4 linked regions of the Nothobranchius furzeri genome follow. The protein of the gene in region 2 binds, or shares a complex with, the protein of the main gene of each other region. Links are inferred from orthologs where the notes say so. Each region holds a gene or a part of one and is shown on either strand. Other genes may lie near its edges.

Region 1 (2,771 bases), on a different chromosome or scaffold from region 2:
TACAATAAAAAAGTCAGCCGTAACAGATCATTGCTTAAGAGAAAACCATATAATGGACTGGGACAACACACGGATCATAACCACCGAACAACAAAAATACAAAAGATGGATCAAGGAAGCAATCGAGATAATGAGACGTGGATGTGGGACCATGAACAGGGACGACGGAGTTTACACGCTGGACCACGCATGGGACTGCATCGTCGGAGAGGGGAGAGCGGGCAGTAGAGCCCCCCCCCCCCCCCCCCCCCCGATGTGGTCGTTTATCGCACAGAAGACCCAGACAGACGTCAACGACTGAAATCCAGGAGAGATTCATCTGAAGACATCTGTAGTCTTCATGTGGATTGTGTTCCATCAGGTTCTGTTCCAGAGGTTTAATTCTTAAATATTTGAAGCCTTTTTCTCCAAATGTTGCACCAAGCTACATTTCCCGTCTGCAGCTTTACGATTTCTAAGAGTTAAAACAAGCAGGTCTAACTAAACCATTTACAAGAAAAATTCTCTCTCTCAGATTTATTATTTATTAAAAAGACAATAATTCACAGCTGAGGACTGGACAAAAGCAAAAAACTGTGTGTGTGTGTGTGTGTGTGTAAATAAGGAGTCAGTTGTGTCAAAAAGTCATCAAACAGAAATGTCCAACATGATCTGGTGTCATTTCTTCTGGAAGAAGCCCGTGATGGAAGCCTGCTTGGTTCCTTTATGTGAGCTCGATGAAGACTTCTTCTGACTCTTCTTCACTTCCTCTTTGCTGCTCGATGGAAGTTTGGCTTTAGCGTCTCTTGGAGCGTTTTTGGGAGCTGGAACGTCATCCTCGGTCTCAGAATAAGATTCACTTACGTATTCTTTTTCTGTCACTGAGGAGAAACAAAACCCAGTTACATCAACGCAAAAACGCCCGCCCTGACCTACTGCTGGCTTTGGTTACGCTTTTAAATACTTTTAATAAACTTTAAGGTTTATTTAACTGCTTGGTTCATAAATGAAAATATTATTTCATTTTTAAAAAGGAAGTGCCAGATTTCTTTTGTGTGAAAACAAATCAGAAAAAGATGTTTTTCAACATTTGCACATTTCTAGGACACCAGCATAGGAGCTTATTTTAAAACTCAAAGGTCGTAATAATAGTCTCGTTTTTTTTACATATTCGACCAAACTAATTAAAAGATTGCTGCAGGACTAACAGCGTTAATAAAAATGCAGATACCCATGCATCCCTCTTCATCCAGAAACACGCGAGGCTTCAGGACGCGTCTCCTCTTCCTTATTTTCGTCTCAGAATTCCCCTAAAATAAAACCAAACATCATTAAATGAATGAATGAATGAAGTGATGTTTACTAAATATGTGATGCTTATTTAAACTTCAACACACCTGTGAAAGTTGAACAGTCGCTTCCTTCTTAAGAGGACTTGGCTCTCTTGTTTCCAGCGGCTGTGGAGAATCTGGAATAACTGGAAGAAAAAAGAAAATTATTTTTTCAAGGACTTCAAAAATTAATTAGATCTAATATTTACAATCAGGGACACCAAAACAACAAAACTCTCAGAACTACTGCTCTCCAGCCAGTGATGTTTCTGAAACGAACCGTCTTCATCGCTGCTGTCTGGTTCGGGTCTCTTGATTCGTCGCCTCTTTTTTTTTTCCATTTTCTCTTCCTCACTATCAGATGCTTCGATTCGTTTACTTTTGCTGTAATAAAAGAAAAAAAAAGTCATCTTTCACTAAAACACCTTTCGTGGTCTATAAAACAAACGAGTCCTCTCCTGAAGTCGTTCCCTTTTCCCTCCTGGTTTTGAACACAAACCTCCTGGAATCCGTCTTCGTGTCTTTTTGTGGCTCAACGGCTGCAGGTTCTTGTTTTTCTACTGGAGGTGAACTTTGACCCCTCTGCCCTACCGCAGCAGATGACTGAACCTCCTTTAGAGGTTTGTCGGGTTTCTCTGAAGACAAAAAATAATATTCTCACCAATATTGAGTACTTTTATATTATTAAGACAACTAAAGGTTGGGGAGTGAATATTTGCTTTGCTCTTGTGTTCATTATGACAACTATAAATTGGAATAAATGCTATTTGATATTTTTTCTGTGTACTTGTGCTGCTATACATGAACAACTATGTGGAAACATGTTAATACACACAAAACGACCCCACAAAAGAGAAGAGTTACAGTTAAGATGAAACATCTTGTTGGTTATTTGGGAAAAAAAAAGAACTACTTTGTTGTTTTAAGATAATAAAATCTGAAATTTGTGGCCCTTTTTAGATTTAAAACAAATGAAAAATGTTTAAAAACAGATGAAAAGTATGAGTTAAAAGGCCATTTTATCCTTAAACAACAATCTGTCAACATTACTGTTAAAATATAAATATCTATAAACATATAAATATACCGATATCAATCTGATACGATACCAGCACAAATCATACATACATACTTTGACTTATGTCGTAGTGTGGAAAGAATGAAAGGCTTGATCAAGTGATATTACTCAATCCGAGAACAAGAGCCAGCAACAGTAAGTATGAAAAAAAAAATGACAATTTTTTCTTAACCATTGTTTGCAAAAATGTGAACCTTATCGAACTGCTTATATCGGATTAGGGTTGTCACGGTATGAAAATTTAACCTCACGGTTATTGTGACCAAAATTATCACGGTTTTCGGTATTATCGCGGTATTTTTTAAACGGTGTTGCATATGTTCAGAAAGCATTGATAGTCCTGTTCTACACAAACTGAAATAGTTTTGAAAAGGTTTAACAGT
Region 2 (3,900 bases):
GGAATTCCTCCACGTACAGCTCTCTTTAAAACGCTTCACAAAGACCTTTTAAAAACATTATTTACACTTTATAACAAAGTTTGGCACTTTTTCGAAAGAGGAAAAAGATGCAGCTGTATGCAGCAGCTGCAGAAAATTCACAGGTAGGTGCTAGAGCACCAAAAGAACGAATGAATATTGTCTTTTTGTCTGACTATTTCTGAGGTTGTTTTGATGCATGATGCCTGAGGAGTGCTACCAGAGAAACAGACTTTTTAACTGATAGTTGTTTCAAATTTAAACAAGATCAACTGTATTTTACAACTAATATGTGCATCAAAAAGGAGTGAACTCCATTAGCAAATCACCAAGAATATGAAAGCCTGTATAAAAGTAAACAGAAATATGAAAAGAAATACTAAGTCTTCCTTAAAGTTGGGCTATGGTGAAAAAGCACTGAGAACCTTTATTGCCCTGTACATTGAATTGCTTGCAAATGAAAAAAGTACAAAAATGCATGGTTTTATTTTGTTGTAATGGCTCTATCTCTCACTGCCTGTATTTATCATGTGATTATTGTAAGCCATTATCTACAGTTGAGAACAAATTAATAAAAAATTTAAATCTCACTTTGTTGGATGGATGAGTTTGCAAAACGGGGGGAAAGTAGGTGGTGTAACAACCACACCCAGAAGGTTGTCTTTACGTTATCTTCAGGATGCTACCATACGCTTGCTGCACTACAACCTGCACGATGTCCAGGATGAAGTCAAACGCCGTGCTCCAGATGGACTCCACGGACTGCTGCATGAGCCTGCAGGAAAACATTTCAGCGCTAAATGTAGAAAACATATTTAAAAACAAGAAGATGAACAGAAAAGGCGACACTGAGCAGAACTGACCTTTTCATACATTTTATCACCAAATCCAACCTCTCCAGATCTTTGTCTTCAACTAAATCAGTGCAGTACTTCACCACGTGCAGAATGTCCTCCTCCTTTGGATCTAATTGAAAGCAAGACCTCCTTATAAAAAAAATGAAACAACCTATTTTTGCTATTTAAAAATACACGAGTCGTCACTTAAAACATCTGTACCTGTTGTTGTGGTGACCCATTCTCGCAGGAGTGTTTTAATATCTGTCAGCTCACAGGCTCCAGCCAGGGCAGGAACAGGACGAGGAACCGGATCAGTCACAGGTGCTGGGATGTCCTGCTTTGAGGTTGAGGGCTCATTTTCAGTCTGAGAATGAGAAACGTGCATGAGTTCAAACAGAAAACAAATAAAACCAACTTGATCTTTCACATTAGACTCACCTTTGGTACATTCATTAGTTCTTGTGATCTTACAGGACGGGATGCGGTTTTGGTTGGACTGTGGGTCCCCTGCTGCCTCTTTACAGGCGAAGTCCCTTTTTTGACCGGACTGACTACATTCTTCCTCTTGTAGCGCCGCTTGGCCGGACCGACGCCGGTTCCTGGCCCTGGCTGCTTTAGCTGCAACAGTGGATTCTTCTGCTCCACTGCAGCTGAACCAAAGGGTCCAACAACGTGGGTCAGGATGACAAAAAGCATGCAGGCAAAACTCAAAGGTGTTCTGGAGTCAACTCACCTGCATTCACCTGGGGGGGGAGGTTTGCAGCTCGGTGGTAAGCAGACTTCAGCTCCTCCTGGAGCTCTTTGGGAAGTGCAGCGAAAACATCAGGATCAACCTGCAGTCAGAAAAAGGAAATCTGCTAAAGACCGTTTAAGGTCACTATTCACGCATACGGTTCTTCTATCCGGGTCTAGTTCACAAAACAGCTGCGCTTGAACCTGTGAGAAGTTTGGTAGTTCCAGTACAATTCCCGGACTGTCGGGCTGGTTTGGAATCTGCAGAAGCAACGTTCCAGCGGGTGGAGAGTAAAGTGCAGGATGAGGAGGGGACGTTGAACGAGGATTAGGTGAGGAGGGCTGCAGATCAGCTGGATGGCAGTTATTTGGTCTGTCGTCTCTCCTACTCCACGACCGCTCCACCTGCTCCCTCAGCTCTGCTGGAAGGGCCTCCAAGACAGAACGGTCCACCTTAAGAAGTATTCAGAAACACATATGAAGCTTATGAGATAGATTATGGACACCTTGGGAAACTTTCAAAAGAAAATAAAGTGTAAAAAATAATGTTTTTTGGAAGATAAAATAGCAGCTACAGAGAAAGGGAGGAGAGAGAAAACATCTGTTTCTGATCAGTTCTTCTGCATCATCAGATCCTCTTTACCTGCGACGGCGACGGGACTTCGATACTGACGTTGAGATGTGAGTGAGAATGTTTTGGTGTTTGCCTGCAACCTGGAAAGTCTTTGCTTGTTCCTGGAACTGGCTCAGGTGATGCCCGAAGATTTGGTGGAGAGCCTCGTGAGGGAGCGGACGAACGGGAAGGCTGATCCTGGAGAGCGTCTGCAGGATTTGGACCAATTAACCAAAACATATTCAGGACTCTAGACTACGGTGGCAAAAACTAAACATCACAGACCAAACTAACCTTTGTTACCAGGTTTGGCACTCGGACCCGGCCCTAACAGCAAGTCTTTGATGGAGTGCGACTGAGGAACCCGGGAGTCCCGTGCAACAGACTGATTTCCTTCAAGAAGCTGAACCTGAATCCCAACTCCTCTCAAGTCCTGAACCTGCAGCTTCATGGCATGGAACAGCTTGATAACGGCAGAGGCGATCAGCTGACCGCTGTCGGTGGACTGAGCGAGCATCACAGTCCTGGTGAGAAGTAAAACGAGTCAAGAAAAGCACAAAAACCCACAGGCGGGCTGATGCAGATCTTTCTCACTTTGCCAGATTATCACAAATGCCGTGGCCTCCATATTTAGCCGGCTCCAGCGGCGCTCCTGCTTTACGAACCATGACCTTAAGCGTGACTCTCCGACCGCGTAGCCCCGCTTCTTGTAAACGCCGTTGCACTTCCGTGGATAAACTGGTCAGGAAACTTTCCGTCTCATCAACCTGGTGAGTTTTAAAGCTGCACATTTAGAAATGACGGCTGTTACGAAACGAAGAGCAAAGCAGAAGAGCAGGACCAACCGTGGTGAAACGAATGTTGTAGTTCATCTCAGCCGACACCGATTTTCTCTCCTTCTCAAAGCGAACAGGCCGGTCGTCCAAGCCCCTGCAGAACCGGAACAGGGTTTGTCCGGTACGCGGTCCAAACCTTTTCTGCAGCTGAGACAGAGTAACGTGCTGGAGGTCCCCACATGACGTCACCTCCATACCGGCAAGTTTTTTAGCCATAGCACGACCAACCCCTAGAAAACAGCAACTGTTAACTACTTCACAAATGCTAACAGGTTAGTACTCGTGAGCCGGATGAAACGTTAACCTGGTAAACTGGTAACTGGTAGATCCCTGATAAAATCGTCCACTTCTTCAGATTTAAGGAAGTACTGCCCATTGGGTTTGGCCTTACGGGTCGCCAGCCGAGCCAAAAGAATGTTAGACCCTGAACAGATCACAGTTTGATTAAATACAACTAAATATACAAAATATTCTAGAGGAAGAACCCTGGCTCACCCATCCCCACTGAAGCACAGCATCCTGTTTTCTTCTCGATGTCTGCTCTGATGGCTCTGGCCAAATCCTCCGGGCCGACTCCTACCTCAGCGAGCAGAGCAGAAGCGTCTACCAACGCCTCGTCACAGCTCAGAGCCTCTATGTCACGAGTGTAACTGCATTTCATGAAGTTATCAAGTCAATAACAAACAAACAAAAAACAAAGTGATGATTTGAAGGATTTCAGCTTTCTTACCTCGCTAGGATCTCATACATGTTTAGAGCCACCTCTCTATAAGCCTCAAAGTCATAAGAAACAGCCTGCAACGAGGGGCACAGCTGCTTCGCTTTGCCAAAAAACATCCCGTTCCTCACTCCCACCTGCCTG
Region 3 (2,650 bases), on a different chromosome or scaffold from region 2:
AACATTAAAGCTGGTAAATTGTAGTTTTGTGTCGTTTCCTCTTAATGATCTAAAACTTAAATTTTTGTCCCTAAAAACACCGCAGGTCCATCTCCTCTGAGATGAAACATACGTGGTCTTTCCAATACATTGCATGGTGTGTTTCTAGAGACTGAAATCAAACTAAAACTTTCTTTCTGCAAAGGTGTTTTGTACTTTTTAATTTGACTTAATGTCAGAATTGATGACACCAGATTGGAGCTTTAGGATTGATTCCCTTACTGCTTTTGGAGGATTTAGGGGGGGATTGGTGGTGTTTGGGCAGCTGCCTTTTACATTTAGAAGAACTGATCAACTAATTGTCCAAGGACCGTGTAGGAATGACTCATTTAATTTGACTTTACAAGTTATCTCAAAGACTAACTGCGTCTTGAATTTGTAATCAAGATTCACACCGACTCCTGAACCACACTCGTCTGCACACTACTGCCATCTGCTGTTACGCCAGAACACTACAACACACTCTCTGCATGAAGTTGAAAATATTTTTTATCTGTACAGGTTTACAAAATAAAGCTCAACAACTAGAAATGCCCTTTTAAATTAAAAATAGGACCCAAAATACACATGTTAATATCCTCATGAAGCACAAAAACAACTGATTCAAAACAAGTCTTGTTGTATTCTGGTTGTCTGGCTTTCCTCTGGTAAAGATAATATAAAAACATCTTTGTGTGTGTGTGTGTGTGTGTGTGTAAATATATATATACACAATGTTCAGAAATAAATACTCATGCCCTAAATGTTTAGTTCTTTTTGAAGAAAGCATCTAGAGTACCCACACTGCCCCCTAGTGAGCGTTGTCTCTTTGGTGCAGGACCTGACTGACCTCTGGTTTTTGTTTTGCCTCGGGACGACCGAGCAGATGGAGAACCACTGGAGGAAGATGAGACGGTTAGATTTGGAGGCAAGCTTCCTGAATTTGTAGATGAAGACAGTGAATTCTGGAGGTCCAGGGCGAAGTGATAGTCACGATGCTCAGGCATTTCCCACACCAGAACCTCTACACCACAACGTTCACACTTTAAAAGGTCTCCTCCTAGCGCACTAGAAGTACTGTCCAGATGGCTTTCCGGTTCCTCCCTTACCTCTTCTTCCTGTGACTGTGTTGGTATTAACTCTGGGATCATTTTTAACTGCTGGCCAGATGCAAAAGCATCAGTGCCTCTACCGGCACATGCATCATTGTGACCTGAAGACACGTTAGAGCTTTTTTCAAGACTCTTCCTATGAAAGAAAGAGGAGATGCCAGGATGGGAGCTAGAAGAGTCAGTTTTAGAGTGGGAGACACTTTTGAAAGGAGATTTTTGTGAGTCACTTGCCATCTCCAGCTGGCAATCGGTGTCAGATTGATCGCCAACAAAAGGCGGGAGAACTTCCTCTTCTGTGTCGCTTTTAACTTGCTTTTGTTTTCCAGCTGCTTTTTGAAAGAAGGACTGAATGGTACCATGCTGACTACATGGAGGCTCTGTTTTTACGTCACAGGATGGCTGGGTGGAGGAGAACAGAGTCTGGGTTGAAGTTCCTTCACTGGACAGAAATCCAGCAATCCCCCCAGCAGACGGAGCATCACTGAATTTACTAGCAGAGATGTGTAGCAGGGTGAGGGGGGGAGACCTGGAAACATGTCAGACACATGATCTAAATCATGCAGCATTCCCTCAAAACATACATCAGCCTTTTACGTCATCGCTCTTTAATTACCACGCAGCCTGGTGGTTTCCTGCTTTGTTGAGACTCTTGATCAGAGCAAAGCTGTCACTTGATATTTTGGTCGCCTCGTAGCGTGCTAAAGCACAGCATCGAGAGAAGCCGGTCGGCCGCTTATCGCCAAGCTGACGCACGCCAACCGTCAGCTGCTTTGCCACACGATTATTCTGTAGTGCAGCCAGAAAACACGGGTGTGAGACTAGTGGCGTGCTACAGGAATACGAGGACACAACGAGCCAAGCTGTAATGAAAAAAAGCGATTACATTTAAATAATTCTCACCACTTCTTTGTCTTTGGCCAGCCTCTCCTCCAACTCCAGGGCCAGCTGATGAAGCCAGTACTGCACCTACACGGAGGTTTGATTTCAGCATCAGGACAATCTTTGCAAATAATAAATGGAACTAAATAATGACATTTCTCATAGTTCTGGTGTCTTTTCCCCCCACGTCAGAGGCATAAACCTTTCAGAGAGTAACAGATTATGTTGAAATACTTTTGACAGTCCTGTACCTGATCCTTAGTAGCCAGTGACGTCCTCCCGGGAAAGTTTTTACTGCAGCCAATGGACTTGGGAAGCTGTCTGGGTTTCACAGGTTCAAACTCGATCCCCCGACACAGGTCAAACAGCCACTGGCTGCAGCGTTATGTTGGTCATAGAGAATTTAAAAAACATGTCAGCAGTTAAGGTCCATTTCAAATAAATACAATTCTGTGTGAAAAATGTCAACCAGACTGTCAGAAAACTTAAAATGGTTATTTGAATTATGTTTTATTTTCACACCCCAAAGTCCCAAATCTCTAAATCTAGTCTCGAACTGTCCTACAAGTAGACCTTTTATTCGCCAGTAATCCTGTGAAACTGCATTTTCTCACCCCGTTTTTTCTCCAAAGTGCTGCCCC
Region 4 (2,903 bases), on a different chromosome or scaffold from region 2:
AATTAGTATTTTTGTTTCATACTCACACATCTCTTTGCTGTCGAAGCTGTCGTCGGTCTCTTTGTCTGTTTGCTTCTTATGAATAAAGTCAGCAAACCCTCTGATAGTTTCTGTTTGTACCCATCTTTGAGGATCCAGAGTGTTCTTCTTCTCCTTGATCAAAGTCTTCAAAGCTACAACTCTTTTTTCCATAAGGAAGATGTTAACTTCTCTTTAAAAATCCTATTTCTGCTGTTTCACAGCTTCTGTTGAGAACCTTCTAACATATAAATGAAGCGACGGGCTAGCTTCTGAAGGCTGAATGTTTACTTTACCAACTCACACCCATAAAAGAGTGTATATGGAAAGAAGGAGGGATAGCTCCGGTTTATATTGTTGACTTTTTTGATGGAGGTGGAAGATTTAGGAAGATTAGCGCAGCGCTCTAGTAGAAGTTTAACTTGTCGGCTGACTGGGGTTTTATTTTCTTTCTTTCAATCTGAAACCACCAATTCACAAACAAAGAACATATTCTCCAAAAGAGAGAATTCAAACATTTATTACAATTCAATTCAATTCAACTTTATTATCAGACTCAAGGTCCACATTAACTATAAGAGACATAAAAATGATACAAAAGATTATAAACAGGGTATCTGCAGGTTTAAGGGAGCCAGATTTAAGACTTTTTAAGACCTTTTTAAGGCCACTTTGACCAAATTTAAGCTATTTTTATAATAAAATTTAAGCTATAATTTCCATATTGCCTGGAACCGGTGCTAACCGCGTCGTGAACATGGGATTAGCCATCTAGTTACCATTAATGTTGCACTTCCCATGGCGCAAACTCCCACTAGCATGCTCATCTAAAAATAGCCCCTTTCACAACCAACCAAATGTGTACGGTTCCGCTTACGCCAACATCATACACAAAAAATGCTGCACTAACTAGAAATTCACGAAAATTTTATAGAAATAAGAGAATCTTGTTTACTGGGTCTTTGGTAATTTAAGACCTTTGGAAACTATTTAAGGATTATTTGTCATTTTTAAGGATTTTTAAGGCCTTAAATTTGTAAAAGCAAATTTAAGACTTTTTAAAACTTTTTAAGGACCAGCAGATACCCTGTATAAAAGACATGCATACCAGCGTCTCCACATGGATGACTGGTAACGCACTGCACTAAAATGGGGATCAACCAGCATCTGCACAAGTCTGTTCTTAAGAGTTCTTCAATCGCAAGATAAACCTGTAGAGCCAATTCCTCATTATGGCTTGGAAGGTCCTGACATGAGCATTACAAAATAAAAGACTTGCACTACAGGACCGAGGCTTCCCTAGCAGAGTCCTAAATGCATCGTTGTAGGCTACTTTAAGCTTATGCAAGCTGGCTTTCCTATACTTACACCACAAAGGTGTGCAGTAGGTTCTAAAAAGGTGGATTTTTATCTTATCAAAACACACGTGGAATTTCCTGACCAAAATATTGACTTGGGCAGTCTTCATTATTAAAAATATCAATATAGATTTAAAAAATAACATGAAATTATTTAAAAACAATTATAAACTGTAAAATCACAAGCAAGTTTTACTTATCCTTGTGTTTAGTTAAGCACACATAAATAAAATGGCATTAGCCTCATTTAGCCACAAAATCTGGAATTTAAAAAAAAATATTTTCCAAGAATTAAAATAAACAAGTTGCCATCTTGGTTTGTGCAAGTGCTCCACTTCCAATAAATAACAGCCTTCATCCAGATGTGGACTGATGTTCGTGGGTCACCGTCACCTGAAGAACTTATCGATGGTGTTGCAGACTCCGAGGCTTTTGGGTTTTTTAGACGGGGGAAAGGAAGGCGTGTCAGTTCTGAGAAATACACACCAATGAAACATTATTAGTAAAAATTGTATTTATTACTACAGAAAAATATGAAAATGTAGAAACGCCTTGTTTTTAAAGCAATAATCGACCCGTCTCACCTTTTGTTTTTACTTTTACTGGCGTGTCTTTGCAGATGGAGTCCACTGTCTAAAAACAAAAAGAAAAAATAAACTCCTTTCTCCATCCCCAAAAAAGAATTAGACATTTCCCGAGGAGGAACACAGATGTTTCTGATCTTTCAGCAACATAAAGACAGCAATTCCAAAAGTGAGTTGGTTTAAGAGAAAACCAGGCTTTGGGTGATTGTAGGAAAGCAAATAGGTGAGAAAGTGATTTAGCCATTTCCCAAACCGGGTCAGAGGGGGTGAAATGAGATGTCTGCTTGCTGTCTGAATCAATACAAACTCCTCATACAATGTCACAGTCAGTAAACAACGGGGTCATAGGTCACCGACAACCCTCGAAATAGATAATACGTCAATTCATTCCGAAGAAATCAAACACCTACAGTTTATGGACAATTTTTAACGATGCTGTGCAGAAAAAAAGACACACCTGCTCTTTTTTTGTGTTTTCTTAAACATTACAAGTCCAATATCGCTGGTTCTGGTGGAGAATAAACACACGCTTACCTTTGCTATTTTTACCCACAGAGGGTTTTATGGATAATGTCGTCTGACCTCTGAGCTCATGCAGGACCTCTTGGTTCAGGCAGAGGTCAACGTGCCGGTTGAAGATGGTGAGGTCATCCGTTTCTTGGGTCAAGTAGCACACGGGGCAGATAAGAACCGGACCTGACTGATGCCCCTGCAAGGTGACGGGTTTCTGCTCGTGTTCACTCAGCAAAACCTTTGGAACGGAATTGTTCTTGGGGCTGTCTTCCTGAGGAACGCTTCTGCTCAACTCCTCGCCGTTTACTGGCAGCTCTTCGACCTCTCTGCTCTGTTTGTGCACCGTCTTGCTTTTTTGATGTTCAGTCTCCAGGTCGAACTCTGCGCCTGAAACTCTGTTGGGCTTTCCTGCAGCCTCGCTGAGACAGCT

Evidence for each region. The genes of interacting proteins can lie anywhere in the genome.
Region 1: the proteins of rev1 (region 2) and pold3 are in contact, whole or in part, in an NMR structure (PDB 2N1G), measured with the Homo sapiens proteins. The link is inferred for Nothobranchius furzeri from reciprocal best matches to the Homo sapiens genes REV1 and POLD3. Residues at the interface, in NP_057400.1 of Homo sapiens: Asn1158, Leu1159, Ala1160, Gly1161, Leu1171, Leu1172, Glu1174, Trp1175, Ile1179, Met1183, Glu1184, Glu1185, Asp1186, Gln1189, Val1190; in NP_006582.1 of Homo sapiens: Gly232, Asn233, Met234, Met235, Ser236, Asn237, Phe238, Phe239, Gly240, Ala242, Ala243, Met244.
Region 3: the proteins of rev1 (region 2) and polh are in contact, whole or in part, in an NMR structure (PDB 2LSK), measured with the Homo sapiens proteins. The link is inferred for Nothobranchius furzeri from reciprocal best matches to the Homo sapiens genes REV1 and POLH. Residues at the interface, in NP_057400.1 of Homo sapiens: Asn1158, Leu1159, Ala1160, Gly1161, Leu1171, Leu1172, Trp1175, Ile1179, Asp1181, Pro1182, Met1183, Glu1185, Asp1186, Gln1189, Val1190; in NP_006493.1 of Homo sapiens: Thr528, Glu529, Pro530, Phe531, Phe532, Lys533, Lys535, Ser536, Leu539.
Region 4: the proteins of rev1 (region 2) and polk are in contact, whole or in part, in an NMR structure (PDB 2LSI), measured with the Homo sapiens proteins. The link is inferred for Nothobranchius furzeri from reciprocal best matches to the Homo sapiens genes REV1 and POLK. Residues at the interface, in NP_057400.1 of Homo sapiens: Asn1158, Leu1159, Ala1160, Gly1161, Ala1162, Asp1167, Leu1171, Leu1172, Glu1174, Trp1175, Thr1178, Ile1179, Met1183, Glu1185, Asp1186, Gln1189, Val1190; in NP_001374042.1 of Homo sapiens: Lys564, Lys565, Ser566, Phe567, Phe568, Asp569, Lys571, Arg572, Arg575.

What each region holds. Positions count from the first base shown.
Region 1 is NC_091751.1:39,609,105-39,611,875, forward strand, and holds the end of pold3 (DNA polymerase delta subunit 3), read right to left. Parts: intron 1,946-2,771; coding exon 1,810-1,945; intron 1,695-1,809; coding exon 1,591-1,694; intron 1,457-1,590; coding exon 1,377-1,456; intron 1,290-1,376; coding exon 1,211-1,289; intron 861-1,210; coding exon 658-860; 3' UTR 511-657; downstream 1-510. UniProt on the Homo sapiens protein: Accessory component of both the DNA polymerase delta complex and the DNA polymerase zeta complex.
Region 2 is NC_091754.1:26,368,405-26,372,304, forward strand, and holds the end of rev1 (DNA repair protein REV1), read right to left. Parts: intron 3,898-3,900; coding exon 3,769-3,897; intron 3,689-3,768; coding exon 3,534-3,688; intron 3,463-3,533; coding exon 3,343-3,462; intron 3,269-3,342; coding exon 3,048-3,268; intron 2,970-3,047; coding exon 2,797-2,969; intron 2,727-2,796; coding exon 2,497-2,726; intron 2,412-2,496; coding exon 2,233-2,411; intron 2,043-2,232; coding exon 1,794-2,042; intron 1,691-1,793; coding exon 1,591-1,690; intron 1,508-1,590; coding exon 1,296-1,507; intron 1,222-1,295; coding exon 1,077-1,221; intron 985-1,076; coding exon 882-984; intron 794-881; coding exon 682-793; 3' UTR 519-681; downstream 1-518. UniProt on the Homo sapiens protein: Deoxycytidyl transferase involved in DNA repair. Transfers a dCMP residue from dCTP to the 3'-end of a DNA primer in a template-dependent reaction.
Region 3 is NC_091752.1:33,815,980-33,818,629, reverse strand, and holds the end of polh (DNA polymerase eta), read right to left. Parts: coding exon 2,624-2,650; intron 2,385-2,623; coding exon 2,261-2,384; intron 2,097-2,260; coding exon 2,031-2,096; intron 1,917-2,030; coding exon 1,744-1,916; intron 1,657-1,743; coding exon 786-1,656; 3' UTR 511-785; downstream 1-510. UniProt on the Homo sapiens protein: DNA polymerase specifically involved in the DNA repair by translesion synthesis (TLS). Due to low processivity on both damaged and normal DNA, cooperates with the heterotetrameric (REV3L, REV7, POLD2 and POLD3) POLZ complex for complete bypass of DNA lesions.
Region 4 is NC_091757.1:44,354,109-44,357,011, forward strand, and holds the end of polk (DNA polymerase kappa), read right to left. Parts: coding exon 2,495-2,903; intron 2,010-2,494; coding exon 1,961-2,009; intron 1,848-1,960; coding exon 1,766-1,847; 3' UTR 511-1,765; downstream 1-510. Other genes in the region: ankdd1b (ankyrin repeat and death domain-containing protein 1B), read right to left, coding at 27-192. UniProt on the Homo sapiens protein: DNA polymerase specifically involved in DNA repair. Plays an important role in translesion synthesis, where the normal high-fidelity DNA polymerases cannot proceed and DNA synthesis stalls.